Linked DNA regions of Nothobranchius furzeri. The protein of the gene in region 1 purifies or fractionates together with the protein of each later gene. This does not show direct contact. Links are inferred from orthologs where the notes say so. Each region holds a gene or a part of one and is shown on either strand. Other genes may lie near its edges. The genes, in order: ccdc117 and stip1.

The links.
Region 2: the proteins of ccdc117 (region 1) and stip1 purify together in Homo sapiens (affinity purification with mass spectrometry; 5 studies listed by BioGRID and IntAct, counting the BioPlex papers as one, with this or other methods). This does not show direct contact. The link is inferred for Nothobranchius furzeri from reciprocal best matches to the Homo sapiens genes CCDC117 and STIP1.

The regions. Positions count from the first base shown.
Region 1 is NC_091757.1:46,238,517-46,242,443, reverse strand, and holds the start of ccdc117 (coiled-coil domain-containing protein 117), read left to right. Parts: upstream 1-1,264; 5' UTR 1,265-1,275; coding exon 1,276-1,286; intron 1,287-2,052; coding exon of another isoform or gene 2,053-2,110; exon of another isoform or gene 2,111-2,120; intron 2,121-2,199; exon of another isoform or gene 2,200-2,970; intron 2,971-3,189; coding exon 3,190-3,387; intron 3,388-3,486; coding exon 3,487-3,534; intron 3,535-3,927. Other genes in the region: tcn2 (transcobalamin-2), read right to left, coding at 1-38, 150-322, 530-682, 817-986, 1,075-1,264, 2,053-2,110. UniProt on the Homo sapiens protein: Facilitates DNA repair, cell cycle progression, and cell proliferation through its interaction with CIAO2B.
Region 2 is NC_091750.1:53,225,869-53,229,707, reverse strand, and holds the start of stip1 (stress-induced-phosphoprotein 1), read right to left. Parts: upstream 2,957-3,839; 5' UTR 2,856-2,956; coding exon 2,838-2,855; intron 1-2,837. UniProt on the Homo sapiens protein: Acts as a co-chaperone for HSP90AA1. Mediates the association of the molecular chaperones HSPA8/HSC70 and HSP90.

The DNA.
Region 1 (3,927 bases):
GCACACTCTTCAACGTTGGTGCCCATTGCCAATAAGGCCTTGAATGCATCAAATATGTACATTAAGCTACTAAATAATGATGTATAAAATGTTTTCTGCAAAAACAAACAGATGATTGTATAAAAAAAAAAAGATAAATAACTGCTTACTTGAACTGCAAGGCCTGTACTGAACTCATTGCCAATGTGACCATCAGTTCTCTGGGACTCCAGAAGCTTCTGCTTGATCTTCTCAAGAGATGTGTCAAGCTCAGCTGGGTTGTGTGAATAAAATCCAGAGTCCTTCACACACTGGAGGGCCATTCCAGCCATGGCTTGAGTGTCTACAGACAGAGATAAGTGATTAAACACTCATCGGACGAGTCTTCTCAAAATAAAATGAAAAATCAAAGACCAGGAAAGTCATAAAAAATGTATGTTTATAGCTTCTCTTTAATTATCAGGATCAAAAGGCATCCTGGACGGCATGTTCCTACAACATATATTTCACCCAAAAACTATTTTAACAACATGAGTTGAGATTAACCCACCAACGCTCTCTTCTTCTCCATGTTTGAAATTATTGTGTTCAGCAGCTTTGATGAGCTTGTGGCTGACATGGTTGTTGACCCTGATGCCGCTCACGCAAAGAGCGAGCACACCCAGGCTGTACTGGTAATAGTTGGTCAAAGGGCGGTGGCTGACTGCAGGAAGAAAATAAATACAAAATGTCTAAAACAAAAAATAAGTTATTCCACAGATCGGGGATCTCGTGTTTCATGGTGATAATCGGGATTCAACACATTTTAATACATAAAAAGGTGAAATGAAATCTTACAGGCAATATGTTCTTTCTCCTGTTCCATCTGCTTCTTTAGGTTAGTCAGCAGCATCTCACTCTTGTCGCCTACAGTGAAGGTGATGGTGTTGAGGTCATAGCAGGACGACTTTAAGGCCAGACTGTACAGAGCCATGATGCCAGTCACAGGCTGGCTGTTTGTGAGTGAGCTGAAAGTCGGCACAAGTTCAGGCTGAGGTGAGACAATCAGTTTGATAGAAGGCTGCATTTTCTAATTCACAAAATGGAATGAAATACCTTTGAATGCTATTGTGCAATTCATTTTTCAGTCTATTAAGGTTATCTCGCTCCTTAGCAAGATTGTGGTGACTGGAAAGGCGAAGTGCCAAGTGGACACTGGGATTGGGAAGTCCTTCCTGTGTTGCCAGGGAGCGAAGGAGATTCTTGTTGAGTGACAGGAGCAGCTCTTGGTTGGATCCATCAGTATCTGGATAAAAGATGTATAAAAGGTAAGAATAAAAGTTATTTGATTAAAAGACGTTTCACAAACAACTCTCCTCTGTTGCTGACATCAGCAATGACTTCTAAAGCACTGCAAAACACCAATAGCTGAATCATCAAAATAAAAAAATATATAAAAAATTCAGACTAAATAACAAAATCTACATGAATGTGTTATAATTCCCAAGTTTTTCTTTCATATTTACTTTTTTAAGCATTTAAGATTAAAATATGACAAAGCGACTCATTCTAGGTGATGTGTGTCGCAAACCAACCAAAATACAAGGAATCAAGATCACATTGCAAAATCTGTGAAAGTTCTATTGCATCACAATTTCTGAGCTGTACAAACACACACACACACACACACACACACACACACACACACACACACACACACACACACACACACACACATTTATATAAATATATATATATATAAATATATGTGTATATATATATACATACATATATATATATATATATATATATATATATATATATATATATATATAAAACCTTTATTATCCCATGCATGAGAAGTCTAACTGTTACACAGCTCGTTTAGCAGAAGGAATATAGATGAAGACACAAGATCGTACACATAGCAGTCAAACAAAATGTGTAGGTCTAGAAATTGTATGTTTTACACACACACACACACACACACACACACACACACACACACACACACACACACACACACACATATATATATATATATATATATATATATATATATATATTTTTTTTTTTTTTTTTTTTTTTACTTACCACATGGTTTGGTGGAAACAAAAGCCAACAGGCCAATAATTATAACCAAAGGCAGCATTTTACGTCACCTAAAACGAAAAATAAGACGGATTAAAAACTATCTGGGCGATACATTTTCAACATTAATCACTACAGGCAGCTTGTTACCTTCTCAGTGTGCAGCGTGGAAAAATCTGAGTTGCTTGAGAAAATAAGGGGAAAAGGAAGAGGTATGTCGATGTCACATGACCCGTCATTTGAGATGACGAAACGAAATATCGGAGTCTCTTTAAGTACTAGTTGCGTCTCTCAACATAAACAGGAAGTAGTAAAAGAAAATTGTCGCAGGCTATTGGTCTGTTGAAAAGAAACTTGACAAAGCAACTAATCAGAGTTTGAGGAGGGCGGGTCTTAAGGGTCACGCTTTCTGCCTACCTTTAAATTTTTAATTCTCGCGTTATTCGACAACTTTACATTTAAATAAAGTAAAAATGATTGAAGGTACAACTCTGATAAAAATGTTTATACATAATTAAACTTCTTTGTGTTTCCAATAACGTTTACACCGATGGTTTACACCAAAGAGTCTTGTAGGGAGCATCCGCGTATTTAACTACTTCTCCCACAATCCACCTGTGCATCTGAACGTAGCACGCGCACGTTCTGGAAAGTTGACGAGCCTTCCATGATCTTTTATTTTTTTTATTTTTTTGCATTAAGTTGGTCCGGCCTACTTTCTAGTAGTTCACGCCACACATAAGGACCGAGTCGGTGCCTTTTCTGCTCCACTGTGTTTGTGTTTTAGTGAGTTTTTGGTGTACATGTTCCGGTTTTTGGCATTTTTAACGGGAGTGTGGAAAAGGAGGCCGTTGTGGAGGCAAGCTAGCTAAACATCGACATAAACAACAAACAGCAAAAGGGGGCAGGGCAGTTTAACAGGTCAGTCTTTGAACCCTTAGTGTTTTGCTTAACTTGTGCAATGGAACAAAGGGTAAATATGTTAATTTATGTTTTATCTTAGCGCTTATATCTAAAACATTGGACTTACACGGTGATTATTAGCTATATAAAAATGCCGATTGTCAGTGGGAGCCAGTATGCAACGTGTGCAGAAATGCGCATTTTCAGGTTTTAATTGCATGATTTCTTGTCTTACAGGTCAGTGTCGTTTACAGTTATTAGCCTGAGTGCCTCCCATCACACCAACGCCTGGATGCATCACCCTGCTCTCCCAAAGACTGCACTGGGGTTTCTGCCAACCATGTATTCATTTTCAGGTCCCTCCAGTCTGCCTGATTTTGACTTAGGGCATCCGAGTATGACTGAAAATCAACAGAGATCTGTCAACTCCCACAAGTATGGTGATGCTTTAAACCCTGCAAATTACACGAACATTCTTCCCATAAACGTCTAACTGTGTCAAATAATTATTATTATTTCTTCACTGTTTCACAGCAGCTGGGAGGCAAGGCGGCTCCGGAAGCACAGGAGAGTTGATGATGAGTAAGTAAGAAATCCATGTTAAAAACCATTTCACAGTGTCTGGGGTACTTATCCAATCCAATCCAATCCAATTTTATTTATAAAGCTCATTCAACAAGGCATTACAACCAAACAAGGCGCTGTACACTAAAAATGTTAGTTAATTAAACCGGCGTTATACAGTCATGTCGAACACAGATAAAAGATAAAAAGGAAATACAACAAAATTCACAAAACTAAACAGCTAAAAATCAATAAAACACAGGGAGAATAAAAAATTAGAAAAACATTTTAAAAAAGAACCTCAATAATACGGAAGTTGATATTGTGAATTCCATTTTTAAACAATGTAGTTGTGAGGTTCATAATTATGTGGTATAAGCTAGGTTGAAGTAGTGAGTTTTCAAGCGTGAT
Region 2 (3,839 bases), on another chromosome or scaffold:
TTGTATAACGCTGCTTTTATTGTGTTGGTTGGTTATGTTCTGGTGACATGTAGAACTTGGGAGTGCAGGCTGCTGCCTGAGAGGTGGTAGAAGATGGAGTGTCTCCATGCTGCTTTGTTTTGGTCACTTATGTGCGTGAGGCGAGTGGTGTTACGGGTTAAACCAAACTCAAGGTGATATTTTACACTAAACCGAAAACCCACAACACTCTAAATGTAATAAAAGGGAGATCTACACCACAAAAAAGATGAACTCTAAACCAAAACGTAACAGCTTATCCCAACGCAAGAAGCTGTTAGCGAAGATGCTAACAGTAGCTTTACCAACGCTAAGTTCAAGTTACCAAGTTTAAATAAACCAAAAACACCCAGCAGCAAACAGACCAGCACGGAGGAGAGACTGCTACCACCAAAACAGCTCTCCTAATGTCTGAAAGAAGCTCCTTAATGAAGGGAGAAGCGCTCCCGGTGATGTTCTACATCTGCGGTAGAGACGAAGCAGCGCATCTGACCCCGGAAGTTGTTGTCCGTTGCCGGGAGACGAAGGCGGGCAAAACAGGAAAATAATCTAGTAGTGGACGGACGTTGTTCCGGGTCTTCGGTATTTGGCGGAGATGTTAGTGAAGGCGGAGAAGAGAGCGAACTAGAGGAAAAACAGGCAGATTCCTCCTCTATTTACAAACTCCTGGGGATGCAACAAGTGGGCGCGGTGCGTCGACTTCCGGATCTGACGTCGACAAATTTTTAGAATCGAGCCGTCGACGTAGTCGAGGCTTCGCTACAGCCCTAATATTAACTTAAGTGTAAACACAGATAGACCTCATTTACATTTTTAAGCAGTCCAAATGGGTTTGAATGAAGGCAACTGGACTTCTTTGACTTCTTGAAGAGGTTTCACTTCTTGTCTGAGGAGCTTTGCCAATTCTGACTGGAATATGGGAGGGTCAAGCTTATTAACTGTGGCTGTCTATTGTTGCCTTATGGGCTCGACACGCGGGAGGCGACATCGCCTCTCCTCCATTCATTTTCAATGAGACATGCGCGACAAAGCGATAATCGCGGGTCTCGCTCCTACCAAGCGAAACGCGAAAAACGTGCGTGTGAAATTTTGCGCTCGTGCACTTGCGACCCAGCAACGCAATCCCAGAAAGTTGAAATATTTTCAACTTTTCATCGCTGTCGCTCGGACGAGGACCAATCAACGGAGGTTTCATTCACTGACCAATGAGCGGACAGGATGCTCCGTACACCTCCAAGCAAACATGGAGAAGTTGATTATTATTATTATTTTATATAGTAAAATCAGAAGTTAGATTTCACATAACTCTAGCAGCACCTTGTGAAACATATCTACCACTTTATTAACTCTGAACCGCTTAAATAACCTTAATTCCCTCCAACCTGACACAGCCAAGCAAAACAACGGAAGTTTCGATTTCGCCATGGAACAGAACGTGTAGACGGCTTTGCCGCTGGCCGCGGATCGCCTCTCGTGTGTCAGGTAATAAAAGCGACAGCGACAAATTTCGCTGATCGCCGTCGTTTGTCGCCTCCCGTGTGTCGAGCCCATAACGCGCAGAAACTACCTATGAATACCCCTCCTCCCTACCCCCTGATGTCATTAGCCTCTACTGTGTGTATTCCAGACAAAATTGACAAAGCTCCTCACATGAGAAGCCAACCCACTTAAAAAAAAAAAAACAATAAAACTAATAAAGTTGTCTTTATTCTTTGGATTACCATGACCCGGATGACTGAGAACCTTCACCAGCATTTTTTAAGCAGTCTTGCACAAAGGTTCTCTATGGAAAATTAAACTCTTGCTAAGATTTTAGTCAATCTTTGACTGTTTATACTGCTTTAACCAAGTCCATCCGCTGCATCATGTTGAGAAAAATGCTTTATTTTGCTTTATAAAAAGAAGGTGCCTAGGGGATGAAGTGTTGTCGGATTCATGCAAGAAAGAAAAATGACTAAAGAAAAATTAAGGTCATCTTAATTGTGAAAACACGAGGAAATTCCCAGAAGTCTACAAACAAAAAACTTCGACAGTTCGCGACACTTGAATTCGACTTTGCGGCCTGTCGCCTAGACAGTGGCGCCGTGAGCATCTAGAAAGATCCTCCGGTCTTCGCTCAGGCTGGGGTGGACGCTAAAGCAATTCCAAACTAACCGTGTCAGATATTTTAAAATAAAATGTCACATTAGTCCAATTTAAAACTCTAATACAAATAAAATGGTATAACGATGACTTTATAATAAGACCTTCTTAAACACAGTATACATGAAATAGAACCGGAAGATGTACACAGATTTGTCAACTCGCGTTACTTAGAAGCACTTATACCAGAATAACTTACAGCGTGTTAAAACCATATTTTGGTTTCTGAGTACACAGTTATATTAACAAAAGTGGGCAAAGACCGTCTCGGTGTTTACGGACTTATAAAGTTGCACGTTAGCTTCACAGCTCGTCAATGAATGTGGTCATTTGTCTCGCTAGTTAGCTAAACCGTGCGTGTGTTTTTATACGTCAACGACAAAACTCAGTCTGCTTGTAAAGGGATGCAAATTCTTAAGCGTTTAAAATTAGTTTTGCGTTTAACAATGTCGTAAAGCTCTCAGCCTATTAGCCAAACGGCTACAGTGTAAATGACGCTAAGCTAACAAGCTAGGAACCACTGTGAAGTCACTGCATTAAAAAGCGTACAGACAATTTTTTCCAATCTGTAACACTCTATTTTATTTTATTATCGGGAGATAAATTCAGCATTTCTTCCATTGGCTGAAAGCAGTCGGTAAAAACACAAGAATAAAAAAAACTTGCAGGTCACTTACTTTATCCATGATGCACATGCGGTTCCTTCCAGAAACTACTGCGGAGTCCGAACTAGCACCTCCCCCTGAACGGCTGGTGGAAGTTGCCAGTAGGGACTAGAAAATCAGTAAGCACCGCCTAGGGAGAGATTTCAGACGAGCAATTTATATTTCACTTACTGAAACTTCTCAAAGAAAGAGGGACTCTTTATTCTGAGCGCAGTTGCTCAAAATGTGTTTTGAATTCTCTTGAGTTATACAGTCTGAAAAATAGTTTGAAATTATTTTAATTTAACTTCTTTATGTGTGAGCCTCTTTGTGTCCACACTGAAAAAAGTATGCTCTTAATCGTATTTTTTGTGAGAAACATACACATATATATATATATTTTCACTTTAAACATGATCAAAGTTAGTAACGTCATGAAGTGTTTTTCAATGTCAAGGCAACTGGATAATTGAAATAAGCTATGCTTCTTCCTATTCCTTTTCGAACAATTTTAGTTTGGGATACTTTGATATAAGTTGGAAAGTCTTATATGGTAAGGCCCTTGTATTATTATGATTTATTTTTATTGCTATTTCTTTTTAACAAACTAAATTTGTTCTTTTCTTTCTTTCTTTCTTTTTCTTGAATTCAGCTTTGTTTGACCTGTGCGAAATAAAAAAAAGAAAAAAGTGATCTCTGCTTGCTAGGCCAGGCGCCTTGTGATACAGCATTAGTTCTGCTCTAAAATATCCTCAGCTGAATAAGATTAGTGCCTTCATCACAAATCTGTCCTGTACATGTCTACTGCCCTCTGGTGGAGGATCTACAGATCAACAAAGGACTGTTTTATTTCTTTACTATTATGAATTTTCTATGTAAACACACAAGGGATCCATTAAAAAGGGCAAATTGAAATTAAACATGCACAAAATAAAATAAACAACTACATTACAAATTACCAGAGGTGTCCCTTTCTAGGCATTAAAGCTCTTATTATTTCATTAAAAAGCATAATAAAGTTATACACATGGTTTT